Linked DNA regions of Oryctolagus cuniculus. The protein of the gene in region 3 interacts with the protein of the main gene of each other region in a biochemical or structural test. Links are inferred from orthologs where the notes say so. Each region holds a gene or a part of one and is shown on either strand. Other genes may lie near its edges. The genes, in order: SYNJ2BP, DLG1, RALBP1, ras-related protein Ral-A-like and DLG4.

Region 1 (6,407 bases), on a different chromosome or scaffold from region 3:
GAACTCCTTGCTGATATTTGCTGTCATTAAGCAGCAGTGCAACCTTCCTCAAGAACATGGAAATTAAAAAATCTATTAATACTTCTACAAAGGTTAGACTATAAACCCAACATTTAATAAGCCAGAACAGAGACATTCAATGCCATCTTCCAAAATCTTCTCTATAACCTGGGTCATGGGCAAAATTCTGTGCCTCAAACATTCATATGTTGACATCTTAATCCCCAGTATCTCACAATTCAACCATATTTGGAAATAAATTCTTTAAAGAAACGATTAAGTTAGAAATGTCTTTATAGTATACTTTAATCCAAAATGAGTGATATCAGGCCAAGAAAAAAAGAGTAAGAGGTTTTTGGGAACAAGTTAACATATAAAGTGGTTTTATATAAAGCATCAATTTTGATAAGCATCAGTACCAGCTTTCATTTGTAACACGGTTTGTAGCACTGGAAGAAAAGGATTCTGTGATTGTTGAAGTGAATTGTTATAACTGTAAAGAGATGATAAAATATTGAAAAACATTTTCTAAATGCATAGCACATGGTTAATTTGAGCTTCTGTACACTACAGTATGTTCCATTTTCATTCAGTTTGTTTATTTGCTCCTGGCTTGCAACCAGCCCAGCTCTGGCCATCATGACCATTTGTGGAGTTAACTAGCAGATGGAAGATCTTTCTGTGTTTCTCCCTCTGTCTATAACTCTGCCTCTCAAATAAATAAAATATTTTTATTAAAATCATTGGGAAGAAATTTGGACATGGAAATGTGTGCACAAAGGAAGAACCATGTGAAGACAAGAAAATATGATAATCTGCAAGTCAAGGAAAGAAGCCTTGGAGAAAAGTACTTCCTGTACCTTGACATTGCACTTCTGGCCTCCAGAAATGTGAGAAAATAAATTTCTGCTATTTAAGCCACTCAGTCTATGGTATTTGTTATGGTAACCCTAGCAAATTAATATAATCTGATTAGATGTAATCATCTAAGAAAGCATAGAAGACATAAAATATGCAGGAGTTTGAAACCAAAGGGACCAGTTACAGGGCAGCAAGCTGGAACAAATTCTACATTAAAGGAGAGGTAGATAGGTCATAAATGCAATCATATCCATAAATTAGCCATCACAGAAGCTGACAGAATAGTGAAATAATGGGAGGTGGCAGATAAGAGATTAGAAAGACAAGGTGAATGTATAACATGAAGTGTGTAAATATACAGTAAGGTATGAGTAAATGTGAGGCAAGATTTCCACTAATCTTGTAATGGTGGACTGACCTTGTCATCAAGATCTATACTTTCTGCACACCTCAAGGGCACAGAACCATAAACAAAAAGACTAATTTAGTGTCACTTCTGCCAGTGGCCAATGGTCCCCAATATCCATTCTCCCATTTTTAGTTAATAATAACAACCCTAATTTTTTTTTAGTTAGCACATTTCCATCCCACTAAAACATGGCATATTCTATGTCTCTCTCATAGTTAAATATAATCATGTAATAGGCTTCTATTCAAGGAGATACAAGAAATATATGAAACTTCCAATAGGTTCTCTTTGCCATTTCATTCCCTTCTTGAAATGTGAATATGAAGGCTGAAGTTCCAAAAACCATCGTAACCATCTTGGGCCATGAAGTAAAGGCCACACTCTAAGGATGAGAACTGAAGGGGTTATAGAAAGATGAAAGGAATCTGATTCCTTGGTGACTGAGGAGCTCCTCTATTAGCCTTTGACCATCCATCTCTAGTTCTTTACTGTGAATGAAGTACACTTCCATCTTAGCCTAATACATATAGAATTAAGTGTGTATCACTGCTCTAATCTTCCATCCTTAGCCTATTTTTCCCAGTAGCATCAATTTGTAGACTTTGCCCCACTCTCTATTCCTTAAATTTGAATGTTTATGTATATATATATATATCTTCCTTTTAAAAAATAAAAGATTTATTTATTTGAAAGGCAGAGTTACACAGAGAGAGTGAGAGGTCTTCCATCCGCTGGTTCACTGCCCAAATGTCCACAACAGCCAGAGCTGGGCCAATCCAAAGCCTGGAGCCAGTAGCTTCTTCCAGGTCTCCCACACAGGTGCAGTACCACTGGGTACTGCTTTCCCAGGCCACACCAGAGAGCTGGAACTTGAAGTAATGCCCATATAGAATGAGGACACTGCAGGCGGCCACTTTACCCATCAGGACACAGCACCAGCCCCTTAAATTTCTTAAAATTAAATAAGGCTTTTGTCAGCAACAATCCAGGAATCTTTTACTTAAGGTCCTGGGAACCATCTCTTCCCAATGTTAATATCAGGGAAAACAGTGCTCCTATCTCCTCTTACTATGGAAGTTAACCCAAGTGGTTTACACTAATCTTTACGCAACAGCTTGTCATACAGAGAGCAAAGTATTACTTTTCCTTTGCTAACCTGTATTAACTAACACAGAAGGCCACCCCAAAGGTGAACCATCAGAGAGTGGATAACAAATGGTGTTGTCAAGTCCTCTATGTAAGGACAAGCATGTTATGGTTTGTACCTACTTGGCTTATACGAGATTTTTCATTTTGGCAATCTCATCAATGGATTGCCTGTAACGTCCATCCCAGTCTAGTTTGATGCTCACAGAATAACAAAATTTTCTTTTCTATATTTGTGGAAATTTTGAGATGCCAAGATTCCTTTTAGATTTTTCCTCAGCAATATCAATTTCTTTACGTCCACTACCTTAACTAGCCTCCCTCCACCCCAACCTTACTTTTCCCAAGTACTTTCGCCGGTCAATAACTTGCGGCTTGCTGACCTCACAGTTTTCTCGGAACACTCAACGAGAGAACACAACCGATCGGCTGTGAGAACCACGACTCCCAGCATTCCGAGCGCTCTGAGCGCGGCGCACTTCCTCTTCCGGCCCGGAGGCTGCGCGAACCGGAAGTGCTGTTCTTAGACCGCAGCGCGGAGATTGATTCACCTTCACCTGGGCAGAGCCCCAGCTGAACCGAATAGGAGCGGTAAAACATGAACGGAAGAGTGGATTACTTAATCACCGAGGAAGAAATCAATCTTACTAGAGGACCCTCAGGTATGTGCGGAGCGGGCTGTCTTTGGGAGTAGGGGACTTGAGGTGTGCCTTTGCAGAGCAGACCCTCTTTTTGTTGCGCCGGATTCACCTGGCCTCAGAGTAGGCAGGCCCCAACGTAGGAGGTTAGGAATGTTGAAAGAATATATTGATATCCATCATTGGCTAGATGACGGGTCGGATTACAACACGTATTTCTAATCTGGAAAGATTTCTTTTTGCTCATGGTGCTAGAGAAGCCTAGAATAAAACCCGCTGTTTAGCCAGCATTCCGTGGACACACTCTTCCTTCTATTACCTGGTCTCTCCTTGTTCCTTGGAGGATCGTTTAGCCAAATTGGGAACGTAAACTATGTGACCGCTATATTCAAAAAGCTGTACCTATGGAATTTGTATTTATTAAATAAAACGATTCTTAAAAAAACAAAAAAAAACAATGTGAACTCTAAATAAATGCACAGATGTTCTGGTGCCAGGATTCCTTCCTCATTTCTGAGAAATTAGTATATAGTGTCAACTAGACTGTTAAAGCAGGAAGACGCTTTAGAGATCTGTTACAGGAGTTTCCAAACTTGGTTCTGCTACAAAACTATCCAGGCTTTGTTTTTGTTTTTGCTTTTTTATGCTAGTATAAAATTAGAATGCTGATTTCTAGTTCTCATTTCTAGAGATTTGGATTCAATACGAATTTGTTTTTAACAACTTACATGATTCTGATACAGTCAGATCCTTACACCTTCTGTACTCCCCCCTCCCCCAGATATTCCTTCCCTAGACTGAGCTGTTGACATTGCTACTCACTGCCTGCCTTGGACTTGGTTGGCTTTTTTTTTTTTAGCAGTTGTTGAGTTTATTAAGAGCTTTAACCATGGAATTGTACTATCTAGGCACAAAGCTTGTTATCTAACCGCTTACTGGTTCTTTGGTGTATTTTTTTCCACTGAGTGACATTGGTGCCTTAGTTGCTCATCTGTTAATTGGAGGTGATTATAGAATACAATATATAGTTTTTGAGAATGAAATTAATTAATTGATAAAACATCTAAATATATTTGTAAAATAATTAGAGCATTGTCTGACACACAGTAAGCAGTATGTATTTGCTACTACTGTTATTTTTATTGGGTGAATGGCTAGATTTGCATGGTAAATGTTATTGAAAAAGACCCTGTAGAAATCATAAGCCCCATGTGCTCCATCTAAAAATGTTTCTAAAATCCTTTTTTCTGTTCCCAGTGCCACTATCTATAATAGTTAATCACTTTTCTCATCTGGAATTTTGCAGTAGCTTAATCACCACTGACAGATTATCCTTTATAAAATATGACTTGCAGAACTACCTATATTTTGTGTCTTTCTTTTTGTTATATAAAATTGGAAGCTGGTCTTATGGAAATATAATTAAGCAGAGTAACTAAGCCCCTTGGATTCTTTCTTCCTATTTTATAAAATTTTTTTATTTCTCTTACTCAATACTTACCGACTTTAAAGCTAATATGGAAAGCTAGTTTTCAACCAGAATCTGTTTTTCTGTACCTTTCTGCCACTGGTAATTGTTTTTCATATAAGGCTAATTAAAACTGTGCTAGTTCCTTTTCTGATTGCCCTGCACTTATTTTCCCTTGCTTCTACTTTGCCTGGTCTTCCTTTAGCCTAAATATCTTGTTGTAACATTACTTTTTGTGATATTTGAGTTTGGGTTCTTGATTCTTGCTTAAGAATTTAATGTACTTGGCAGTGACATCTGCATCATTTCTAGAATCTCCCAACTAGAGCTGAGCAGAATCTTATTCTGGGCACTAAATAATTTAAATTCAGTATAATATCACTAAATCATTTTTGGCATTTGCAAAGCAGTGTTGCCTAATATTTAGTTCACCATTCACCACAACTTCTGAGTCTGTTTGTCTTGCAGATATAAAGTTCCTAGTGTTTGTATTTTTCAGAAGCATTGGAGTTAGGGCAAACTTCATGGGATTAATTAAAAGAAATTCTATCTAGCTAATATATTGCAACCAAAAGTGGATTAGTTTTTGTATTGTATGTGAGTTTATCCACAGGGTGGTTTCTTGAATTTTCCTAAACATTTTCATGTCTTAGTCACAGAGCCAGGGAACTTATGAGGAGGGTCAAACCACAACTTTAGGATTGAATATGGATAAAAACAGTTATTTGCAATTTGGTTTGTTCTATTAGCAAGGAAAGGTTTCAAGTTCCTATTTATTTCTAGAATTGGTATACTGGTATGTGATACTCTTGGTCTCAGATCTAATTCAGCTTTTCTTCATAGTGTTGTCATGAAGATAAACCACGAAGAAGTCAATAATCATCGTTAGAGTCCTCTATGTAATTTTTGTAATTCCATCGGGATCTTTCTTTCTATAGGAAGAATATGAAAAGTCTCTAACTACGTATACATTTTTTACAGTGAGCAGCATGGTTATTTGTCTTTATACAGCTTCCTACCCTAAGACCTCATCATTTAATGAAGGTAACTACAAGAAAGTGTGTACTGCTCTGCTTTTGTGCCAGTGATCTGGGATATTTCCACTGTTTATGCCCATTTTGCAAGGCAAATTAATCTGTTCCATCTAATCCTCCTTACTACAAGGAAAATTAGAACAATGAAATGAGTGTCTGAGATGGCACAAGGAAATTTGGCATGTAGCTTGCCATCTCATCTGTAACTACTTTCTCAACTGTGGAAGGAGAGACTTGGGCTAGGAGCTCCTCTTTTTTCCAAGTTAATGATTCTTTTGCCCAATCTGTGTGTTAGTCTGATTCTTGCTGTTCTGAACCAATTGGATAAAGAATTGGCAAAGACAATGATAACAATATCAAGTGCCTTCAAGGGTTGAACATTTCCATTTCATCATTTATGGAACTGCCTCTCTCTTTTTCTTTTATGGAATCCAGTTTTATTGTATTCTCCAAAGCTCCTGTCTTTTCCTTTATCACATTGAGAGTTCTTGATGTTGGAAAGAGTAGGTAGCTCTAAGAAGCTTGTCTCTAATCTAGCTTTCATTAATTTTGTCAGGTGGAGATGGTCCATAAAGGTAACCCTCCTACACAAGGGTACCAAGATTAAGATTCCTATTTTCAGGCCTAAAAACACAATGGGATTCAGCAAGTTGCTAAAATCGGTAAAGAGGGAAGAGAATCTCTGTTTTCTTCCTTTTTTTTTTTAAAGATTTATTTTATTTATTTGAAAGACAGAGTTATAGAGAGAGGTAGAGGCAGAGAGAGAGGTCTTCCATCCGCTTGTTCACTCCCCAGATGGCTGCAACAGCCGGAGCTGCGCCGATCTGAAGCCAGGAGCCAGGAGCTTTTTC
Region 2 (5,842 bases), on a different chromosome or scaffold from region 3:
TACTCCCCAAATGGCCACAACTGCCAGGGCTGGACCAGACCAAAGCCAGAAACCAGGAGCCTCTTCCAGGTCTCCCACATGGGTGGCAGGAGCCCAAGCACTTAAGCCATATTCTGCTGCCTTCCCAGGAGCAAAAGCAAGGAGCTGGATCAAAAGTGGAACTGCCAGGACTCAAACAGGCACCCATATGGATGCCAGTGTCACAAGCCGTAGCTTTACCCACTGTACCACAATACCGGCCCCGTCACCTCCTTTGCATCTGTCCTACCACAATATTAAGTCCTGATGCTCACTAGCGAGTCTATTCTTCCAGCATGTTCCCTTGCAGCCCAGTACATAACACTTCTGTTATAGGATCTTTCTGGATCACTACTGTGATTTTATCTCTTCCTATACCCAGTTTGCTTTTTAATACTTTGCTTCCTTAGAATTTCTACTTCAAAAATTGTGTGTACAACACTGTACTTTATATTCTCATTTGTAATGAGATAATTCATAGAAACATCTGCTAAAATGTGCTAAATTTAATTTCTTGGAGTCAAGGTTAAACTGTTAGTGAAAAGTTTATTAAATAGCTAGTTAAACATCTTTGGTTGGGCCGGCGCCGTGGCTCACTTGGCTAATCCTCTGCCTGCGGCACCGGTACCCAGGATTCTAGTCCCGGTTGGGGCTCCAGATTCTGTCCTGGTTGCACCTCTTCCAGTCCAGCTCTCTGCTGTGGCCCGGGAGTGCAGTGGAGGATGGCCCAAGTCCTTGGGCCCTGCACCCGCAGGGGAGACCAGGAGGAGGCAGCTGGCTCCTGGCTTCAGATCAGCACAGCGTGCCGGCCACAGTGCACCGGCCGTAGCAGCCATTTGGGGGGGTGAACCAACGAAAAGGAAGACCTTTCTCTCTGTCTCTGTCCTCTCTCTCTCTCTCACTGTCTGACTCTGCCTGTCCAAAAAAAAAAAAAAAAAAAAAAAAAAAAAAAACTTTGTTTGATGATACAGTGGTGTGGAGACAGAAAAAAAAAATAAATTCTTCAAAACAATTAAGAATGTTTTTGTTCTCTGATGAAATGAAATACCTTAATTTTCATTGAATGTTTATTCCTTTTAACATGCAATTTATCTTTGTAGTTAATTATACTCGACCAGTGATCATATTGGGACCTATGAAAGACAGGATAAATGATGACTTGATCTCAGAATTTCCTGACAAATTTGGATCCTGTGTTCCTCGTGAGTAACCCAATGAAAAACTCTTATAATTATTGTTTTTATTTTCCTATCACTTTGTGTGACAAAGTAAATATAATTTTTTTTTTTTTGTTTTGTTTTGTTTTTTTGACAGGCAGAGTGGACAGTGAGAGAGAGAGACAGAGAGAAAGGTCTTCCTTTGCCGTTGGTTCACCCTCCAATGGCCGCCGCGGCTGGCGCGCTGCGGCCGGCGCACCGCGCTGATCCGATGGCAGGAGCCAGGAGCCAGGTGCTTTTCCTGGTCTCCCATGGGGTGCAGGGCCCAAGCACCTGGGCCATCCTCCACTGCACTCCCTGGCCACAGCAGAGGGCTGGCCTGGAAGAGGGGCAACCAGGACAGAATCCGGCGCCCCGACCGGGACTAGAACCCGGTGTGCCGGCGCCGCTAGGCGGAGGATTAGCCTAGTGAGCCGCGGCGCCGGCCTGTAAATATAATTTTTAACGGTTTATACCTGGGCCGGCGCCGTGGCTCAATAGGCTAATCCTCCGCCTTGCAGCGCCGGCACACCGGGTTCTAGTCCCAGTTGGGGTGCCGGATTCTGTCCCGGTTGCCCCTCTTCCAGGCCAGCTCTCTGCTGTGGCCAGGGAGTGCAGTGGAGGATGGCCCAAGTCCTTGGGCCCTGCACCCGCATGGGAGACCAGGAAAAGCGCCTGGCTCCTGCCTTCGGATCAGCGCAGTGTGCCGGCCACAGCGCGCTGGCCACGGTGGCCACTGGAAGGTGAACACACGACAAAAGGAAGACCTTTCTCTCTGTCTCTCTCTCTCACTGTCCACTCTGCCTGTCAAAAAAAAAATGGTTTATACCTAGTTATTTTATCAGTTACTGCTTCATCCTCCATATTATTGTACTTTTCTAGATTTAAATTAAACTCTGGAACTTTATAAAACAATTATTTCAGTAGAAAATGAGTTTATTATGTTTTTTAATATTAAACACTTCCCTGAGTTCTTTTCTGTTAAAGATACAACTAGACCAAAACGAGATTATGAGGTAGACGGAAGAGATTATCATTTTGTGACTTCAAGAGAACAGATGGAAAAAGATATCCAGGAACATAAATTCATTGAAGCTGGCCAGTATAACAACCACCTGTATGGAACAAGTGTTCAGTCTGTGCGAGAAGTAGCAGAAAAGGTAAGCATCACATGAATGCAGAATATGCTGTTCATCAGATATGCCTTTGACAATATGAAAGAATTACAGAAACTTCTAGTTCTTACTTAAAAGGATACAAGATGGATGATAGATTGATTACTTTTAATTCATTGAACTAAGTAATTTTAGGTGGTTTAGAAAAAGACATACAAGTTTACATACAAGATAAAATAGACCAAAAAAAAAAAAAATGGGAGTAGAAAGAATAGCACAAATCTAAGAGGGGCAGTTGTTATTTTAAGACCTTTTGCTAGAGACAGACCTGTCTTTGGTCCTAGCTTTCCAGCATTTCATGTAATTGAGGAACTAAGATCTGCAGTATCCAACAATAAAAATTATTGAAATGTTCAAGATAAATGTAGTTGCTGCTGGTATTGAGATTAGACAAAAGTTTCTCCTCTGAGTCTTCATTTAAAAGACAATATAGGCCGGCGCCGAGGCTCACTAGGCTAATCCTCCGCCTAGCGGCGCCGGCACACCGGGTTCTAGTCCCGGTCGGGGCACCAGATTCTGTCCCGGTTGCCCCTCTTCCAGGCCAGCTCTCTGCTGTGGCCAGGGAGTACAGTGGAGGATGGCCCAAGTGCTTGGGCCCTGCACCCCATGGGAGACCAGGAAAAGCACCTGGCTCCTGGCTCCTGCCATCGGATCAGCGCGGTGCGCCAGCCGCGGCGGCCATTGGAGGGTGAACCAACGGCAAAAGGAAGACCTTTCTCTCTGTCTCTCTCTCTCACTGTCCACTCTGCCTGTCAAAAAAAAAAAAAAAAAAAAAAAAAGACAATATAGCCAGCGCTGCAGCTCACTTGGCTAATCCTCCACCTGCAGCACCGGCACACCGGGTTCTAGTCCCGGTCAGGGCGCCAGATTCTGTCCTGGTTGCCCCTCTTCCAGGCCAGCTCTCTGTTGTGGCCCGGGAAGGCAGTGGAGGATGGCACAAGTCTTTGGGCCTTGCACCTGCATGGGAGACCAGGAAGAAGCACATGGCTCCTGGCTTTGGATTGGTGCAGTGCGCTGGCCGTAGTGGCCATTTGGGGGGTGAACCAACAGAAGGAAGACCTTTCTCTCTCTGTCTCTCTCCTTCACTAACTCTGCCTGTTAAAAACAAACAAACAAACAAACAAACAAAAAAACACCATATATATATGGTGTTCGATGGTGTGGCATAGCAGATAAAGCCACTGCCTGCAACGCCAGCATCCTATTTAGGTGCTAGTTCAAGTCCTGGCTGCTCCACTGCCAATCCAGCTCCTTGCTGCTGCGCCTGGGAAAGAAATGGAAGATGGCCCAAGTGCTTGGGCCCCTGTACCCACATGGAAGACCCGGAAGAAGCTCCTGGCTTGGATTGGCGCAGCTTCTGCTGTTGCCGCCATTTAGGGAGTGAACCAGTAGATGGAAGTTCTCTCTCTCTCGTGTGTGTATATATATATATATATGTGTGTGTGTGTGTGTGTGTGTGTATACATATATATATGTGTGTGTATGTGTATATACACATATATGTGTGTGTGTGTATAATCTGACTTTCAAATAAATACATGTTTTTTAAAAATTACAAAGACAGTATTGGACAGGTGTTGTGGGACAGTAGGTTATGCCACTAGTTGGGGATGCCCACATTCCATACCAGAGTGCCCAGGATCAAGTTCCACCTCCACTTCCAATCCAGCTTCCTGCTGTTGTGCCTGGGAGGCAACAATGATGACTCAAGTACTTGAGTCTCTGGCATTCATGTAGGAAACCCAGATGAAGCTCTGGGCTCCTGGTTTCAACCTGTTGCACCTTGGCTGTTTTGGGCATTTGGAGAGTGAACCAGCATGTGGAAAATCTCTCTCATAGCTCTGCCTGTCAAATAAATAAAAACGAATAAACATTAAAAAAAAGAATCTGACTTGAACAACAATATTAACATTTAAAAAAAAAAACAGGAATTCACAAACAACAGCAATAGACTTTCTGAAAGCATCTTTTGTAGTCATCTGGTGAAATGGTGACACTGGGTTAAAAGTTTTATAGTGAAGCTAAATCAATGTCATAGTGCTGTTTCTTAAATCTTTGGGCCTAGAAAATAAACATTGTATACCTTTAAAACTTAGAGTTTAAGTCTCAATTATGAAATAGCTGTAACAAAACATAAAGCAGTAATAAGTTTCCCATATATAAATGCTACTTTTCTAAAAGAAGTTTGTTCTAATTTAACATTTTTAGAAAAAGTGCATATGTCCCAGAAGTGAAGACAAGGACTTGAGAAAATGGAAATTTTTAGGTAGTTGGGATATAAATGAACATAACTTCCTTTGACAACAGTTGGGCAATACCTAATAAGTGATTCAGAAATTCTACTTATTCATGTCTAGGTATACATATATCCACAGTAGCACCTTATAATGTGAAAAATTGGAATCAACAGAAGGGAATGGATAGTCAACCCTCATTTATTCATGCAGTGGGATATAACAGCCAGAGTGCATAAATTTGTATATCTAGTAGTTAGGTGTATCCACATTGCTAAGTCTCAAAATTATAATAGTGAATTATAAAGTTTGCTTATGTAAATGTTAGAAAGTATAAAACAGCCAATAATAATATATGGATGCTTGTTTGTAAACAAAAACATGCATGAGAATAATACAGCTACTATCTCTTGGTTTCTTTTTAGAAGGGAAGAGAAGGAAATTAAAACCAGCTTTGGAGAATGTTTTATTTCTTGAAAAATAAAATTTTTAATTTCAAAACTCTTAGCCTAGATAAAAGATAGATATTATCCAGACTTCAGATTAGTAATAGGAAAGTAAACAGCAAATCCAAGTAAACTGTTTCATGTGCAAACCTTGTAGAGAGCAAAAGCAATCTCAAGAAAGAAAAAAAAAGAATGGAAGAGATAAGAGGACAGCAAACATAAGTGGTCTAGTCGGTGAATTTAAGCATGTCAGAAAAGTTATTTAAAGTCAGAATTGAGATTTCCAGATGCCAATTTATGATAAAAGTTTTGCCAGTCCACATAAAATGAGAAGGAGAATAATGGTAGTGAGGTTTTACAAATTTAAACTTACTCAGTTTAGGATATTTACCCATTTTTCTAGGATCTTTTACCTTCTGCTGATCATATATTTTATGAAATTATGGTTATGATGAGAGTAGTTTGGGGTCTTTTTTTAAATGCTCTGTCTTACAAAATTAAAGATCAGCACCCTATATTGGTTGCCATTGAGAGAATACTAATCTTTGAACACCAGGAGTGTGAGAACTGTTTATAACTTTCTGAAATCTTACTTCAGGCTGGCGCCGCGGCTCACTAGGCTAATCCTCCGCCTTGTGGCGCTGGCACACCTGGTTCTAGTCCCTGTCGGGGCACCGGATTCTGTCCCGGTTCCCCCTCTTCCAGGCCAGCTCTCTGCTCTGGCCCGGGAGTGCAGTGGAGGATGGCCCAAGTGCTTGGGCCCTGCACCCCAT
Region 3 (5,842 bases):
GAGATTTGATGATATGCATGCAAGTAAATAAAAACACATTTCTTATTTAGTCTTGAATTTCTTATTCAATTTCTCTCTCTCTCTCTCTCTCTCTCTCACACACACACACACACACACACACAGCATGGCATTTTTTTCCTGTGTTTTTTAAAGATTATTTATTTAGGGGTCAGCACTGTAGCACAGTAGGCTAAGCCTCTGCCTGTGGTGCCAGCATCCCATATGGGTTCTGGGTTCGTGTCCTGGCTGCTCCTCTTCCAATTCAGCTTCCTGCTATGGCCTGGGAAAGCAGTAGAAGATGGCCCAAGTGCTTGGGCCCTTGCACCCATGTGGGAGACTGCGAAGAAGCTCCGGCTCCTGCCTTTGGATCTGCCCAGCTCCAGCCTTTGTGGCCATTTATTTAGGGAGCAAACCAGGGGATGCAGGACTTTTCTCTCTGTTTCTCCCTCTCTCTGTCTGTTAACACTATCACTCAAAAAAAAATAAATAATAACTTAAAAAAAATTTTTTTTAAAATTACCTATTTGAAAGGCAGAGTGACAAGAGAGAGGGGGAGAGACAGAGAACTTCCATACACTGGTTTACTCCTCAAATGCCCACAACAGCCATGGCAGGGTAGTGTCAAAAGCAAGGAGCCAGGAACTCCATCTGAGCCTCCTATGTGGGTAGCAGGAATCCAAGTACTTGGGTCATCATTGACTGCCTCCCAGGTGCACTAGTAGGAAGCTGGGTTGGAAGTGGAGGTAGGACCGGATCCCAGGCACTCTGACAGAGAATACCCAAGCGGTGCCTGTCTCACAGCACAGTTTCTTACAGCTAAGTCACAAGTGGAAAAGTCTAAGATTTAGACTCAAGTCTTGGTTCTACAGCTTAGTAATCATGTGCTAAAGTTTTCTCACCTCCCCTGACTTTCCGTATTCTTATCTTTAAGACATGACTAAATGAGAGCAACCTCGTCCAGATAAGCAAACACTTTGGTGCTGTGTACTAGTGTGCTGAGCCCTTTTCATGCATTATCTCATATTCAATATGCTTCACATCAGTCAAGTGAGAACACCAAGACCATAAGAGACGAAGCAAGTTAGCTAACTAGGAGCAGAGCAGGAATTTAAAGCCCAGCCTTTTGTATCCAAAACCTGTGCTCTTTCCACCATGATATCCTGACTTATTTGACATGAAACAGTGCAAGATAGAAATTTCTGACTTCAGTGTGCCATGAAGACATGCCTGATAATAAGTAAATAGATGAACAAACAAGAGCTGACCCTCCCCCTCAGCAGCCGGCATAAAGGCAGGCTGGAGGGCAAGGGGCGAGGCAAGGGTGCAAACCTGTCTCCTGATCTCCTCTTTGATGCCCGCCTGGGTCTCCGGCAGTGTGGGCATCGTGGCCATGTTAGACCACCGCAGAGGTTTCGTCACTTGCTTCAGCACCACATTTCCAAAGAGCTCTTGCACATGTGTGAAAAGCACATACAGGACACGATTGCTGATCTAGGAGGAAAACAAAAAGACTTGTAGAAAAACAATTAAAATTGTCATTTTACTTCCATTTGTGTCTGTCACACAGTGAATGACAATTATCTTCAAGATGGGCTGTTGTGGTGCAGTGGGTTAGGCACCACTTGGGATGCCCACATCCCATGGCAGAACACATGGGATCAAGTCCTACCTCCCTTTCTGATCCAATTTCCTACTGATGCACCTGGGAAGCAGCAGATGATGGCCCAAATATTTGGTTTCTGCAACCGCGTGGGAGACTGGGATGGCTCCTGGTTTGGGCCTGGCTCAGCTCTGGCTGTCTGCAGGCATTCAGGGAGTGAACCAGCAGATGAAAACACACTCACTCTCTGTCTCCCTACCACTGTCACTGTCACTCTTTCAAATAAAAAGAAAAACAAAAAAGAAGAAGTCCTCCTCAGGAGTGACAAGGAAGGCTTCGCTAATTAATGGCCAATTCAAGGAGAAAAAGGCAAAATCCATGTTAAATCATGTACTCAAGCACCAAAGGAATTGAAGGAATTTTTAAAAAGCCAAGAAAATGAAGCAGACACTGAAAGCTATTTGTTGTTTTCTATCACTACAATATTAACTGATTTTTTTAAAGAACCTTATGTTTTTAGTTTTCAGTTTGAGACCTTTCTAAAAAAAAAATTTTTTTTTTTTTTAGCGGCAAAAGAGAGACAGATAGAGTGCTCTTCTCTGCTGGTTCCCTCCACAAATGCCCACAATGGCCCAGCCAGGGCTGAGACCAGAGGCTGAGAACTCAACTGAGGTCTCCCATGTGGGTTTCAGGTACTCAAGTACTGCTGCTTCCCAGAGATGCACTAGCAGGAAGCTGCAAAAGGGAACAGAGCTGGCACTATAATGTGAGATTAGGGTGTCCCAAACAGCAGCGTAACCACTAGGCCGAACACCCACCCCTATTTTGAGTTCTTTTGATAATCACGAGTGCATCTACTGAGGTGGAGGAGGAAAGTGAGAGCATTGCAGGTGCACAGCTGTTGAGGCTGAGCCCTCCCTCCAGACAGGAAGGCCTCCTGGGCACACCACAGCAGCAACCTAACATGATGATCACATGCTAGACCAGGACAGGAGACTGCTGGAAAATTAATATAATTTACAACAGTTTGACCCTTCTATGACACTGTCATAATATTATAGTAATATTATGTAACAATGTGACATTTAACAGATCCTAAAACCCTAACACAAATGATCAAATTGAAATTTGAGGAACATTTGGTATCCAAAATACACCAATCAGTAAAAAAACCACACTTGTACAACAGTGAGTTGGGCACCAAGGAGTCCAACATTCACTTATTTGATCAAGAAGTTAATGAGGATTTCATTTGCAATGGCAGATCCTGAGAAAATGTGCTATGGTCAAAAGTGGATTAAGACAAAGCCTACGACCCGGGTCTTTTTCTCGGCCTGGGTAAAGTATCAGCAAGTCTAATCAAAGGAAAATACACACCGTATGCCAGCAGCAACAGAGCTGCACTAAAGGACGGTCAGGTGCTTACGTTGTAAAAGGACAGTTTCCCAGAGGGCACTTCCTCAGGTGAAGAGCCTATCCTATGTCTCTGTAGACTCCTCTTTCAGAAATGAAACCCTCGGCTCAAATCCTTGACGAAACAAATTAGTGACAGGCCCCTCTGTGCCTGAGTTTGACCCATGTTTGTATTCATGAAGCAGTAATGCTCTGATGAAATGACGGAACCCTCTGAATTATGTAAATGAGCTCTGTAACTGCAGGAACCACTGGCTCCCCCTCCACCGTGACCAGTCACTGGGAACTGGGTGCTAACCCCCTGGGAAGAACGGCACGGTCCTCATCTCATAGAGGGGCTCATGACCTTCCCTGTCCACACCACTGATGGCGTGAAGAAAAAAAAGAGCTGTAATCAAGCTACACCATATGTACCCGCTCTGGCTGCCAGGTTCTCATGGCGACTCAGCAACAGCAAATGTCTCCACCTCCCCAGGCCCAGCGGGGGCAGTGGAGAGAGGAACTCGTACCTGGACAGTTGGGCTGAGCACTATGGAGATGTTCTGTATGTTCATCTTGGTCTCCAGCTCCTTGGCAATGACATGGTCCATGTGCACGATGAGCCAGGAAATCAGAAGGTGGTTACACTCCGGCAGCTCCTTGAGCAGGCGCTGGAACTCCTGCACTTTCTCACCCTCACTGGTCCTCCCACAGGCCTCTTCAAATCGGGGCATTAGCTCTTTGGTAAGCAGATTCTCTGGAAGGTCTCGTAAATACTGCTTCAGCAAACTGGCGACAGTATTGGGCTCATATTCTTCCAAGTTTGGAGACTCCTCTCGGTCGTAGGCTGCTTTTAGCTCATCTACCTTTGATTTAATTCCTTGAAACATTCAAATAATTGAGGAGAGAGAATACCAAGAAAAGCAAATCAAATACACAGCTTTCTCAGCCACTACACCCACCCCAGCTGGAAAGATCTGAGCACCTGCCTGACCAATAACAAACCTCTCACTGTGAATTTTTTATCTGCATGAGGCTCAGACAATTCCTCTGCAAATATAGCCCTGTAAAAGACCACACTTTGAGGGTAAATTTAACCAAAAGCCACATGATAGCCGAAAAAATATTCACAGCAATCACAGACATATTTTAAGCAAATATATCAAAGGATTCAGGAAGGAAAAAAAATCTTAACTTAAAAGGTAGTTAGGTAAAAAATTAGGGAAAAATTAAACTACAATCTAGGCACAAGTCTTGCGCTATTTAGGCAGACAACTGTTTTTTCTAACTAGCCACATGACTGACAACACAAGATGAAACTCAGTGCACATGAAAACATTCCCAAATTTGTGGGTAAATTTTTTTATACGTAAAAATTATACTGTAAATGTGAAAGGTGAGTTAGCTGCCTAAACAAACTCAGAATTATCCAATAATCTCCATCTAATTTTTACTTTAAATTTAGAATTCTTTCAGTGTTAATCTGAACAGAACTGGAACAAAAAAAGTTTTAAGTTTGTGTTTCAAAAAAAATTAGATGAAGTTTTGGTTTCCAAAGTCAAATTGTTTTACTTTTCTCGTTGGACAGTAAGAAACTCTTAACACAAAGTGAATACTTTTCAAACATTATGTCTTTGGGGCCAGCACTGTGGCCGCCATCCGCAGTGCCAGCATTCCATATGGACAATGGTTCAAATCCCAGCTGCTCCATTTCTGATCCAGCTCTCTGGTATGGCCTGGGAAGGCAGTAATGGCCCAAATCCTTGGGCTCCTGCACCTGTGTGGGAGACTCGGAAGAAGCTCCTGGCTCCCAACAGGCACAGCTCCGGCCATTGCAGCCATCTGGGGAGTGAACCACCAGATGGAAGACAAGACCTCCCCCTCCCCCTCTACTTCTGCCTCTCAAAAAAATAAATAATTCTTTAAAAAAAAAAAAAAAAAGACTATAGTCTTCATTATAATTTACTGGCAGTGACTGCTCAAATGAGTACTAAGTAACTTTTTCTGATTTTTAATACTTTAGACCAGTTATTTGGGACTAGCCTGAAATTAAGGCTGAGAGTTTCTAACAGTGAACATCACCTTAAATAAAATACTTACATTTGGGTTTTGGCATTTCTTATCCTACATGAAAATCTCTTAATGGTATTACAATAAATCTGTTACTTGCACACACTGACAAACATAAAAGCAATAGCAATATGAATCTTATTGTTGCATAATCTTTGAGAAAGTTAGAAAATAACCCTGTTTTCTTACATTTATGGCAATGTAGTAAAATGTGATGAACAATTCTTGATGAAAATTCCCTCTCTCATATAGGCGAGATCTTCCAAAAGATCATGAAAAACTTGCACCATCCTTAAACTTCATTTCCACAAACTTTTTGTAGTACCCTCCCCGTGAATACACTTTGTTGATATTTACCTTTCCCCCCTACAACACCTACCCAGCAAATTGCACAAGTGTGTGTATTTGGTTTCTTGTTACTCTGAAATTATCAAAATGTTTGCATTCTACAAACTGGACACTCCAAAGAGAGTGAGTGAGTTTAAAGACATATCTTAATGTAAAAGATATAATTAAACGTGGACACGGAAAATATATAAAACCAGTGAAACTGTCTCTCATATTAGTTTTAAAATCTGAATTAAGAGGCAAGCATTTGAGGCGGCATACCCTACTAGAGTACCTGGGTTTGAGTCCCAGCTTTGCTTCTGATTCCAGCTTCCTGCTAACGCACACCCTGGAGGCAATGGTGATGGCTTAAGTAGCTGGGTCCCTGCCACCCACATGGGAAAACCCAAACTGAGTCAAGGGTACACAGCCTCTGCCTAGCCCAGCTCCAGC
Region 4 (6,543 bases), on a different chromosome or scaffold from region 3:
ATTTTTAAAATGGAAAATAAGGGAAAAATGAATGGAAAAAGGAAAGATTTGGCAATTACAGAAAATCCTGAGGGAAAGATATTTGTATTTATAGCTTTGAGGATTGAAAGTAAAGTGAAAGTTTAATTTATAGTCCCCTAGAATTCCAGAAAAGATAAAACAACATATCCTCTGAGAACTGAGAAAGATTGGGTCAAGATGGCTTTGGGAATTTGGGGGCATGAAATAGTTGCAAAGAGAATTCAATAATTTTCACCACGTTGATGTCACAAGGAAAAAGTCACCTAAGAATTAAGTTTGAAAGAAAAATATTGAGGGCTAGAGAGCAGCCTGCTATGCAGTGCTAGGATATAGGGCTATGCAGAGAATAGGATAGGAGGTACACTCTTGGAAAAGAAGAGAAGAGAAAACCACCTGGGAAGCCCCACAACAGGAGGGGAAATAGCTTGAAATTGTGTGATGAGTGTTAACACACACCCAGAGAATAGAAGCCACAGACAGCCTGAGCTGGCAGCACTATTGAGACAGTGAGGGCAGATTTATCTACACCAATCCATGGGCATAGAGCCAGAGAGAGCATGCAGTGGGTCCAGACTGGAGCCTGGGGAGCTAGCGGTTGCTGGCAGTCACCTGAGGTCCTAGTGGAAGTAGAGGGGACAGCTGATTCAAACCAATCTCTCTAATACAAAACTCATGACCCTACCAATAGAGGGAGTAGGCATACTTTTAAACCAGTGCTACAACTCAGAAGACCACAAGCATGCACGTAACAGTTCACTGAGATGGGACAACTGGACACAGAGCTGCTAGCAGCATCAGGCAGGCTTTAAACTGGGGAACCTAGTGTGCATGTGTGATCCAGAGCTACCAATGGAGGGAATGGCCCACAGCCCTTGCTGCCTCAGAGCTTGGCAGGAAGGTGGCCTGGAAACTATGAGAGACAGAGGAGAACCTGCACCAACAGCACCCTATAATCTTGGCATCTGTGAAAGCCCTATATGCTAAGACATTAGAGCCTTTATAGCTACACAAAAAGGTGTAGGAAAGAGCTGGCTTTGGAGTTCTACCATGCCCAATGTTGGTGTTACCCCTGAAACTAGCCCCACCCTAGATCATTAACCCAAGCCTCTGGGCCACACCCACCACATGCCTCCTGGTAGTCACTGAAAGGGCAGACATTCCATGAAGTCACAGAAGCATAACCCCAAAGATAAAAACCAACACAAGAAAAAATTAAAAATCAACTCCACAAATGCCAGAAAATAGGAGCTGAAATTTAAGAAACAAGAATAAGGAAGTCACCATGACCCCCAGAGGAACATAACAACATTTAAATATTAGAATATTAAGATGAGAAGATTGAGGAAATGATAGAAGAGTAATTTAGAAAATTAATCATAGAATTACTCAAAAAAATCAGAAGCAAATCTATGAGCTAAAGAAAACCATACAAGAAATGAATGAAAACTTCTCCCAAGAAACTGAGAATATAAAGAGAAATCAAAATGAAATTTTAGAAATGAAAGAAAATGGATCACATAAAAACTGCAATGGAAAGTCTTTACAGCAGACTTGAAGAGGCAGAAGAAAGAATATTTGAATTAGAAGATGAATCTTTGAAAATCTTACAGACAAAAAAAAAAAAAAAAGAAGAAGAAGAAGAAACTAGAAAGCAATGCTGGAGGCCAGCGCCAATGCTCACTAGGCTAATCCTCTGCCTGTGGTGCCGGCACACTGGGTCCTAGTCCCGGATACTCCTCTTCCAGTCTAGCTGTCTGCTGTGGCACGGGAGGGCAGTGGAGGTTGGCCCAAGTGCTTGGGCCCTGCACCTGCATGGGAGACCAGGAGGAAGCACCTGGCTTCTGGCTTTGGATCAGTGCAGCGCCAGCTGTAGTGGCCATTTGGGGGGTGAACCAATGGAAGGAAGACCTTTCTCTCTCTCTCTCTCTCTCTCTCTCTCACTGTCTAACTCTGCCTGTCAAAGAAAAAAAAAAGAAAGAAAAGAAAGAAAACAGTGTTGGAAATCTATGGGATACTATCAAATGACCCAACATACCAGTCTTAGGAGTTCCTGAAGGAGAGGAAAGAGAAAAAGGAATTGAAAACCAATTAAATATTTACAGAAAATTTCCCCAATTTGGAGAAAGATAGAAATGTTCAAGCAGAGGAAGTATATAGAACTCCTAACATACATGACTAGAAAAGATATTCACCAATACACATTGTAGTCAAACTTTCTACAGCAAAACATAATGAAAAAATTCTAAACTGGGCAAGGGAAAAGTGACAAATCACTTTCAGAGTATCGCTAATTAGACTCACAGCTGACTTCTCATCAGGAACCCTACAGGCCAGAAGGGAATACTGAGATATAGTCCAAGTCTTAAAAGAAAAAAAACCTGCCAACCCAGAATACTGTACCCCACAAAGCTTGCATTTATGAATAAAAGTGAAATAAAGACCTTCCATAACAAACAGAAATTGAAAGAATTCATCGAAACTCGTCTAGCCTTACAGAAGATGCTTAAGGATGTGCCATACACAAAAACAAAGAAAGATAGCCATCATTATGAAAGAATGAGAAAGCAGAAAACCCCAATAGAAATACAAAATAAATCCAAAGTAAATGATATGAATATTTATGGAAAAGTGGAGGGCCAGGTCATTACTTATCAATACTCACCTGGAATGTAAATGGCCTCAATTCTCCAGTTAAAAGATACAGACTGACTGAATGGATTGAAAATCAAGACCCATCTATCTGTTACTTATAAGAAACACACTTCATCAACAAATATAAGTAAAGTAAAAGGATGAAAGTAAAAGGATGAAAAAGATAGTCTATGCTAACAAAAACCCAAAATGAGCTGGTGTTGTGATTTTAATATCAGACAAAATAGGTCACAAAGAGACAAGGGCCGAGCCCCCTCCGGCCGGAGCCAGCGCGGCCACGGCTTCAGAAGCCCGCGGGGCTGCGGACCGGCTCGAGGTGCAGATTCTTCTTAGTCCTTTGGTGGAAACTCTGCAACACAAGATGGCTGCAAATAAGCCCAAGGGTCAGAATTCTTTGGCCTTACACAAAGTCATCATGGTGGGGAGTGGTGGCGTGGGCAAGTCTGCTCTGACTCTGCAGTTCATGTATGATGAGTTTGTGGAGGACTATGAGCCCACCAAAGCAGACAGCTATCGCAAGAAAGTAGTGCTGGATGGGGAGGAAGTACAGATCGACATCTTAGATACAGCAGGGCAGGAGGACTATGCTGCCATCAGAGACAACTACTTCCGGAGCGGGGAGGGTTTCCTCTGTGTCTTCTCTATTACGGAAATGGAATCCTTTGCAGCCACAGCCGACTTCAGGGAGCAGATCCTAAGAGTAAAAGAAGATGAGAATGTTCCATTTCTGCTGGTTGGTAACAAATCAGATTTAGAAGATAAAAGGCAGGTTTCCGTAGAAGAGGCAAAGAACCGAGCGGACCAGTGGAATGTTAACTACGTGGAAACATCTGCTAAAACGCGGGCTAATGTTGACAAGGTAGTTTTTGATTTAATGAGGGAAATTCGAGCCAGAAAGATGGAAGACAGCAAAGAAAAGAATGGGAAAAAGAAGAGGAAAAGTTTAGCCAAGAGAATCAGAGAAAGATGCTGCATTTTATAATCAAAGCCCAAACTCCTTTCTTACCTTGACCATACTAATAAATATAATTTATAAGCATTGCCATTGAAGGCCCAATTGACTGAAATTACTTTAACATTTTGGAAATTGTTATGTATCACTAAAAGCATGAATTGGAACTGCACTGAAAGTCAGATTCACTTTAAAAAGAAATTAATGTGGCTTCTCCAAGAAGCAAAGTTCAGCTTATTTCATAACTGCCTACATTTATCACGGTCCTGAATGTAGCGTGTGTGTCTCTCAGGCAGTCTTTCTGGAACTGTTAAATAAAGAGGTGAGATGTGGGGTGGGGAATGGGAGGAAAGGCTACTTCCTCTGGTGTTTATTATAAAGCTTAAATTTTATATGATTTTAAAATGTCTTGGTCTACTGCCTTGAAAAATGACAATTGTGAACATGATAGTTAAACTGTACCACTTTTTTTAACCATTGTTATGCAAAATATAGAAGAAAAAGTTGTTGGCATGGTTGTTGCATATAGTTAAACTGAGAGTAATTCATCTGTGAGTCTGCATTAATTAACTGGTGATTAACTTAGAAAAGTGGTGTAAACTTGTACACGGACATTTTGGAACATGCCTTAATTTAGAAACCGAAAAATACCCAGTTTCATCATTCTGTGAGACACTGTATGCCTGGTATGGAGTACAGCTTTTGTATAGAAGGTTCTTGAGAAATAACTGTCCACTCGGAGTCTGTCCAGATGAAAACTGTGTGCCATACTCTGGTTCTTAAATAAGGTTCCAGAGCTTCTTGACTGCTTTAATAAATTGTAAGGTGGTATGAAATGAAGGGCCAGCATCTACTTGTAAGATAATTTGAGACTTTGAAGATTCAGTACCCCTTGTGTGTGAGTGAAGCCTCTTTTTTTTTTTCCTAAGATGCTGGTCCCTAGAAATCACTTTCTACGAGTGTTGAGCATATAAGTGTTACTTTTTAATCTCCTGGAATTAGGGCATAGGACAAACGTTAGCAGCACTAAGGCATTTGGCATTAGAACACTTGGGGAGAATAAGCATGCTTGCCACCTGTTTATTTCTAAACTTGTATTCCTGAGGTTTACAGTTTGGCTTTATAGAAATTATTGAGAGTATCTGTAGTCTGTTTATGTTCCTAATTAAGCACTGTGTAGCTATATCTTCCTAAAAATAACATCAAGCAATCAAACCCAGGCATAGTGCAGAAAACGTGTGTGGCACACAGAGACCACAGTGTGTCAGGCGGTGTCACTATTGTGTGATGTTGCCACTGGAAGAGTTCCGGCATGCTATTTGGATACATAATTTTGATGAGAAATACACAGACCACTGTCACTTTTCTTTTCCTGCTCAGGATGGAATTAGGACAGTTGATTTTAACAGATTTTTTTTTCTTTTTTCTTTTTAGTCAGCCCTAATTTGAACAAGTCAAGGATGTGTTCAGGCATTCCAGGTAACAGGTTGTATATGTAAGCTAACAAAACTAGACTTTTAAGGAACTCAGCTCTTTAGATACTATATCCAGCTTGTCATGTTAAATATTTGTTCCTCAAAGGTGTGAGATGTACATCTTCCATTTCATATTTTTCATAGGTTATGCCATGTGCAGAATTAAAGTTACCAATGTAATACTGGCCAGCGGGCCCAGCAGTCTCTATGTGTACTCACGCATTGCAGTCTTATTTAACCAGGGGTCCTAACCACTAACATTGTGACTTTGCTTTGAGACCTTTCCTCTCCTGGGTACTGAGGTGCTATGAAGCCAACTGACAAAGATGCATCACATGTCTTAGGCTGATGCCACTCCCCAATTCGTTTATTTGCAATTTGAGCCATTTAAAGACCAATAAACTTCCTTTTAAAAAAAAAATAGGTCACAAAGCAAGTCTCAGCAAATTCAAAATAATTGAAATCATTCCATGCACCTTCTCAAACCACAATGGAATGAAGCTAGAAACGAACTATCTCTAGAACATAATTAGACATAAGGACTGAACAGCATGCTCCAGAATGAATAGTGGGTCATAAAAGAAATCAAACAGAAATCAAAAAATTTCTGGAAACAAATGAAGATGGCAATACATTATATTGAAACCTATGAGATATGAGATACAGCAAAAGTATGTTAAGAAGGAAGTTCATAGCAATCAATGTCTACATGAAAAAACTGGAAAGGTACTAAATAAATGAGCTATCAATGCAACTCAAGGATATAGAATATCAACAACAAACCAAACCCAAAACTAGTAGGAAGAAAGAAGTAATTAAAATTAGAGAAGAAATAAAACTGATACAAAAATTACAAAAATCCATGAAAAGGAAAGCTATTTAAAAAAAAAACCAAAATTGATATACCATTGGTGCAACTGAACAAAAAAAAAGGAAAAGTCAAATCAATAAAATCAGAGATGAAAAAGGAAATATAGTAATGGATACCACAGAAATAAGAATCATCAGAAATTATTGCAAAGAGCTGTATGCCAACAACTAGAAAACCTAGAAGAAATGGATAGATTCCTAGAAAGATACACTCTACCAAAATTAAGTCATGAACTTATAGAAAACGTAAACACACCAATAACCAAAATAGAGATTGAATCAGTAATACTCTCCCAACAAAGAAACCTAAAAGGCCAGACAGCATCACTGCTGAATTCAAACAGACATTTAAAGAACTAATTTCGGCCAGTGCCACAGCTCAATAGGCTAATCGTCTGCTCTTGGCGCCAGCACACCGGGTTCTAGTCCCGGTTCTAGTCAGAGTGCCGGATTCTGTCCTGGTTGCTCCTCTTCCAGTCTAGCTCTCTGCTGTGGCACAGGAGGGCAGTGGAGGATGGCCCAAGTGCCTGGACCCTGCACCTGCATGGGAGAACAGGAGAAGCACCTGGCTCC
Region 5 (5,842 bases), on a different chromosome or scaffold from region 3:
CCCTCCCTGGGAGAGCAAAGACGCAGACTAAAGTTCCGGAATGAGACGGGAAAGGACAGAGTCCCAGGATCGTTCAGCACCCACCGGAAGTCAGAACTGAAAGACCCTGGGGTAGATCCCAGCAGGGAGGGGAGGGCCGAGAGGACCCAGGTCTCACTCAGCCTGGTGTCTGGGTGGACGGCGATGCCACTGAGCAAGAGGGAGTAACACTGCTTGGGCAAGACGGAGACCTCACTACCCAGGAGAAAGACCACGAGCTCGGTGTGGGCCATGCTGAGCATGAGTTGCCTATGGGACATCCCAGAAAGCACATGGCCAGAGCTGCAGGTCGGCACCTCCAGGAAGAGGGCAGGCCAGGGCAGACAGCTCTGAGAGACGCCTGCAAGACTCGGGGCGGCCCAGGCTGTGCAAGTGGACAGGATCAGAGAGGAGGAGAGGGGCTGGCGGGCACCCGGGCTGCAGAGTCCATGGGGGAAGGGGGAGTCAACAGCAGGAAGGGCCCTAGGAGAGAGCAAGGCACCAGCGAGGAGACAGGAGACAGCCGAGAGCGCTGTGGCCCATCTCTCCCGAGACGGAGGCTCGGGCAACACTCGAGCTGTGCCAGGGGGCGCTGCTATGCCAGGCATTAAGCTGTGAGGTGTTAAATGGTGGGCAGCCCGGGAGTCCCCCGGCAAGGAGAGCAGGCACCTCAGAGACCTGAGACAGAGCCTGTTCCCCGCCCTGCGAGCACAGTCTGCCTGGCAACCTGCAGGGTGTCAGTTCCAGGAGGCCCCGCAGACACAGAATCCCTGGATGTTCAAGTCCCTTACATAAAATGCTATTTGCATGTAACCTACGCAATCCTCCTCTGGTCTTTAAGTCATCTCTAGATCATTTATAATACTGAATACACTGTAAACACCTCACGCGTACATTGTATCGTCTGGGGAAGGAAGACAGGATGAAAGTCTGGACAAGTCCAGCACCGTGGTTTTTTCAAGTATTCCTGATTCACAGTGGGCTGACTCCGTGGATGCCCAGAGGTCAACTGTGTTTCACAATGTAAACCTGGGGCTGGTGCTGTGGCCTAGTAGGTTAAGCCACTGTCTGCAGCCCAGGCATCCCATATGGATGCCGGTTCCAGTCCCGGCTGCTCCTCTCCTGATCCAGGTCCTTGCTAATGGACCTGGGAAAGCAGTGAAAGATGGCCCAAGTGCTTGGGTTCCGATACCCATGTGGGAGACCCAGGTGAAGTTCCTGGCTCCTGGCTTCAGCCCGGCCCAGCCCTGGCTGTTGTGGCCATTTGGGGCGTGAACCAGTGGATGGAAGATGGCTCTCTCTCTCTCCCTCTCTCTCTGTAACTCTGCCTTCTGGAGTGACAATGTAAACCTCTGTAGCCAAGCCCTCCTTGATCACCACGTTGGGCGCCCGCCCCGGGGTTGGGAAAGGGGAACAAGGCAGGGCTAAGGGAGAGTGGCTGGGGAACAGGGAACAGGCACAGAGCAAAGGAATCCGGCCCTGGGAGCCTGCGGAGCCCGGCCCAGCGAGCCTCTGACCTGATGTAGAACCCCCTCTTGGGGTTGCTCCGCAGGGAGGCCGTCCCTGAGCCCAGGCTGCTGTTCATGAGCTGCTCTCGAAGGTCATGGATCTTGGCCTCGAAGCGGCTGTACTCTGAGGGAGGACCAGACAGTTCCAGAGCTCTGCCCTCCTCCTGCGGCCACTCCCCTCGCCCCCAGACAGCCATCAGCCCAGGGGAGAGTTCTGAGGATGCCCTCGGCGGGGAGCCCCGCGCCGGGTACCTTCTGGTTTATACTGAGCGATGATCGTGACTGTCTGGCCCGCATTCTTCAGGGCAATGGCGGCCTGCTCGTGGCTGGCGTTACGGAGGTCCACCCCGTTGACCTGCAGGCAGGAGCAGAGGCTGTGTGGCTGGGGACAGGGCGGGGGCACTTCCCAGGTCCACATGGAGTAGGGATCAGCCCAGCCACATACACACACACACACACACACACACCCCGCCCCAAGGAGCTCGGTGAGGGGCGGGGCAGGCTTCCCCTCACCGACAGGATCTGGTCCCCCTTCCGCAGCTCCCCACTGAGGTCCGCAGGGCCCCCGGCCAGGATGAAGGAGATGAAGATGCCTTCACCGTCCTCGCCGCCCACAATGTTGAAGCCCAGGCCGGTGGAGCCCCGGTGGATCACGATTCGCCTCGGCTCCCGGGGAATGTCCTCCTCCCCCAGCAGGTCCTTGGCCACAGGCGAGTAGCGCCGAGGGGAAGTGGGGGTCATGGCTGTGGGGTAGTCGGTGCCCAGGTAGCTGCTGTGACTAATCTCGTTGTCCAGGTGCTGGGAGTACGCTGAGGGCGGACACGGGAGGAAAGACAAGGTGGAAGTGGATGGAAGGGACACGGCACCCACTGCCCCACCTTCCCCCCTGGGCAGGAACCCAGAGAGCCAGACTCAGGTGAAAGGGAAGCTGCCCTGCCAGGGATACCCCCGTGGGGACGTCAGACACGGCCCTGCCAGGGGTCAGCAACTTACAGGTGGTGTCGGGGTGGTTGTGGGAAACAAGGGATTTAAAGGCTTTTTGTCCACAGCAGGCCAGGGATGAAGCTACAGGCTAATGGGAATCCATGCTTTGGGGGTTTTCTTCTGGTTGCTGTCTCTCTCACATCCCTTCAGCCACAGAATTCCTCTCCCTCTTGACCACTGATTGAACAAGCTATCTGTCTGCAAGAACGTCCAACATCCTACCAGGGGAATCCAACAGAGAAACCTCTGCCTGCATCCTCAAGGTCTGCTTCATCCTGCATCTCTGCCCTCCACCTCCTGTAAGCTGGCAGTTGGTTCTGGGGGTGCAACCAGGTTCCAGTTCAATTTCTAAATACAGCATCCGTCACAGGCAGCGCTGAGCGCTCCCTACGGCCCCACCACTACTGCATCTCTGTTGGAGTGACGAGCAGGGTTGGTGGCTGACAACCTGGTCTATGCACTATCAAATGCCTGCCAGTCTTTCACTTAAATTTTCAAGGCTGTTGATGATCACTGCCTGGTTTAGATATTCATCAGGGTTTGCAAAATGGTGATACTCTACTTTGGGTGGGGGAACAAGGAAGCATTTGTTAGCAGGAATTCTATAAAGAACTGACTTACGTAGACCACTCTGAGATGGGAAGACAAAGGTCTGACAGTCCCTCTTTATTTTCAGAATGAATGGGTCCCTTTATAGCCTCCAAAGGTACCCCAATATTTTAAATCACTATTGCGACCCCATAAATTTTAACTCAAGGAGTTCTGATTCAACAGCCAGGAAGAATCCCTTAAGTTGGGCTCCTGTGTCTTTGACATGCTCTAGTAGTCCTGGATACCACCTTTGCTTTCTAGAATGGAGGTCAAGTGAATCTTAGATATTTCTTGCCCAGGACTTTTTTTTTTTTTTTTTTTTTTTTTTTTTTTTTTTTTTTTGATAGGCAGAGTTAGACAGTGAGAGAGAGAGACAGAGAGAAAGGTCTTCCTTCTGTTGGTTCACCCCACACTCCCCAAATGGTCACCACGGCCGGTGCGCTGCGCCGATCTGAAGCCAGGAGCCAGGTGCTTCTCCTGGTCTCCCATGCAGGTGCAGGGCCCAAGCACCAGGGCCATCCTCCACTGCCTTCCCGGGCCACAGCAGAGAGCTGGACTGGAAAAGGAGCAACCGGGACTAGAACCCGGCGCCCTAACCGGGACTAGAACCTGGAGTGCCAGCACCACAGGAGGAGGATTAGCCTAGTGAGCCACAGCGCCAGCCTTGCCCAGGATTTTTTTTTTTTTTTTTTTTTTTTTTTTTTGACAGGCAGAGTGGATAGTGTGAGAGAGAGACAGACAGAAAGGTCTTCCTTTGCCGTTGGTTCACCCTCCAATGGCCGCCGCGGCTGGCGCGCTGCGGCCGGCACACCGCGCTGATCCGATGGCAGGAGCCAGGAGCCAGGTGCTTTTCCTGGTCTCCCATGGGGTGCAGGGCCCAAGCACCTGGGCCATCCTCCACTGCACTCCCTGGCCACAGCAGAGAGCTGGCCTGGAAGAGGGGCAACCGGGACAGAATCTGGTGCCCGACCGGGACTAGAACCCGGTGTGCCGGCGCCGCTAGGCGGAGGATTAGCCTAGTGAGCCGCGGCGCCGGCCCTTGCCCAGGATTTTAAACTGGCTCCCCTTTCCCCAAGAAGGCCAGGCTTCTTCAGGGAGGTTTTGGTATTTAGAAACAGGGCCCACCCAGGGCAGGTGTTTGGCACGCAGTTAAGCTGTTACTTGGGGCACCCACATCCTATCTCAGCGTGCCTGGTTCAGGTTCTGGGTGTCCCACTTCGATCCAGCTTCCTGCTGAATGTGCATCCGGAGGGGCAACAGGTGATGACCCAGGCACCTGTGTCCCTGCCACCCACGCGGGAGACGGACTGCATTCCAGTCCTGTGCGGGCTGGTGGATGGAAGATCGCTCTCTCTCTCTCTCTCTCTCTCTCTCTCAAGTGAAAATGAAAATAAATAAAATCCAAAAGAAAAAAAAGAAGAGCTGCCATGTGACTTAAATATGATTGCACAGTCTGATTTCATATTCAGTAGGGGCAGGCGTACTTCATTACTCCTTTCCAAAAATGTCTTCGTTATTCTCCCACACATATTTTTCCAGTTGAACTTTAAAATCAACCTGCTAAATTCTCAGGGGGAAAAACAACATTTAAATCCTGATTTGGATTTGCATAAAATATATAGATTAATCTGGAGAGGTTTGAGAGCTGTAGCATATTAAGTCATTCCATCCAGAAACATTGTTTTATATGCCTCAGTAAAGTTTCGTCATTTTTTTTTCATAGAAATCTTATATTTCTTGTCAAGTCTGTATTTATAAGAATTTTGTAGAATTGTTTTCTATAGCAAATGAGATCTTCTTACCCATCACATCATCTTTTCATGGCTGGGAAGTTACTGATTCTTGTTTTTTGTTTTGTTTTTTAAAGATTGATTTATGTATTTGAAAGGCAGAGTTAGAAGGAGAGGCAGAGGCAGAGAGAGAAAGATCTTCCATCTTGGTTCATTCCTCAAATGGCTGCAATAGTCAGGGTTGGGCCAGGCCGAAGCCAGGAGCCAGGAGCCCCATCCGGGTCTCCCACGTGGGATGAAGGGGCCCCTCCTCCACTGCCTTCCCTGGCACATTAGCAGGGAGCTGGATCAGAAGTGGAGCAGCTGGCACTGCAGACGGTGGCTTGACCCGCCAGCTCAATTCTGGTTATTGACTTACATATGGCCACATTCTTTTTTTATTTAAGATTTATTTACTTATTTGAAAGGCAGAGTGACAGAGAGAGAGAGAGAGACAAGTATCTGCTCTCTGCGGGCTCACTTCCCAAAAGCTCACAATAACAGGGGCTGGGCCAGGCCAAAGCCAGAAAGCTAAAGAGTCTCCCCGGGTACTTGGGCCATTACCCACTGCCTTCCCAGGCACATCAGCAGGAAGCAGGATCAGAAGCGAATGAGGCAGGGGATGCAGGGCCCACCCCAGGAGGGGATACAGGGATCCCAGCAACAGCTTAACCTGCTGAGCCACAACAGCTCTTCTGCTCGGGGCCACACGCTCACCTTTCCATGTTTTTGTCCATCAGTTAATGACTTGTATTTTAATCTAGATGGAGAAAGTACACTTTACAAGTAAGGACAGCTGTTTCTCTCTTCCATGCGCTCCTTGTATTTTCCTTATCTTGCTATGCTATGTGCATTCTCTAAAGTAGGGATTTTCAACAGAGCGATTCTGCTCTGTGTGTGTGTGTGTGTGTGTGTGTGTGTGTGTGTGTTGTGAGAGGAGAGGGTGGGGACACCACTGTCACTGACAGAGGC

Evidence for each region.
Region 1: the proteins of RALBP1 (region 3) and SYNJ2BP form a complex in vitro, tested with the Homo sapiens proteins (2 studies listed by BioGRID and IntAct, with this or other methods). The link is inferred for Oryctolagus cuniculus from reciprocal best matches to the Homo sapiens genes RALBP1 and SYNJ2BP.
Region 2: the proteins of RALBP1 (region 3) and DLG1 interact in a test that uses a peptide from one of them, tested with the Homo sapiens proteins (2 studies listed by IntAct, with this or other methods). The link is inferred for Oryctolagus cuniculus from reciprocal best matches to the Homo sapiens genes RALBP1 and DLG1.
Region 4: the proteins of RALBP1 (region 3) and ras-related protein Ral-A-like form a complex in vitro, tested with the Homo sapiens proteins (3 studies listed by BioGRID). The link is inferred for Oryctolagus cuniculus from reciprocal best matches to the Homo sapiens genes RALBP1 and RALA.
Region 5: the proteins of RALBP1 (region 3) and DLG4 interact in a biophysical measurement, tested with the Homo sapiens proteins (2 studies listed by IntAct, with this or other methods). The link is inferred for Oryctolagus cuniculus from reciprocal best matches to the Homo sapiens genes RALBP1 and DLG4.

Annotation. Positions count from the first base shown.
Region 1 is NC_091451.1:16,185,747-16,192,153, reverse strand, and holds the start of SYNJ2BP (synaptojanin-2-binding protein), read left to right. Parts: upstream 1-2,891; 5' UTR 2,892-3,014; coding exon 3,015-3,078; intron 3,079-6,407. UniProt on the Homo sapiens protein: Regulates endocytosis of activin type 2 receptor kinases through the Ral/RALBP1-dependent pathway and may be involved in suppression of activin-induced signal transduction.
Region 2 is NC_091435.1:83,522,380-83,528,221, reverse strand, and holds part of DLG1 (disks large homolog 1), read left to right. Parts: intron 1-1,118; coding exon 1,119-1,220; intron 1,221-2,201; coding exon 2,202-2,374; intron 2,375-5,842. UniProt on the Homo sapiens protein: Essential multidomain scaffolding protein required for normal development. Recruits channels, receptors and signaling molecules to discrete plasma membrane domains in polarized cells.
Region 3 is NC_091441.1:66,675,909-66,681,750, reverse strand, and holds part of RALBP1 (ralA-binding protein 1), read right to left. Parts: intron 3,873-5,842; coding exon 3,523-3,872; intron 1,492-3,522; coding exon 1,330-1,491; intron 1-1,329. UniProt on the Homo sapiens protein: Multifunctional protein that functions as a downstream effector of RALA and RALB. As a GTPase-activating protein/GAP can inactivate CDC42 and RAC1 by stimulating their GTPase activity.
Region 4 is NC_091443.1:114,066,445-114,072,987, forward strand, and holds ras-related protein Ral-A-like, read left to right. Parts: upstream 1-2,896; 5' UTR 2,897-3,034; coding exon 3,035-3,655; 3' UTR 3,656-5,521; downstream 5,522-6,543. UniProt on the Homo sapiens protein: Multifunctional GTPase involved in a variety of cellular processes including gene expression, cell migration, cell proliferation, oncogenic transformation and membrane trafficking.
Region 5 is NC_091448.1:51,806,950-51,812,791, forward strand, and holds part of DLG4 (disks large homolog 4), read right to left. Parts: intron 2,336-5,842; coding exon 2,040-2,335; intron 1,882-2,039; coding exon 1,779-1,881; intron 1,651-1,778; coding exon 1,536-1,650; intron 1-1,535. UniProt on the Homo sapiens protein: Postsynaptic scaffolding protein that plays a critical role in synaptogenesis and synaptic plasticity by providing a platform for the postsynaptic clustering of crucial synaptic proteins.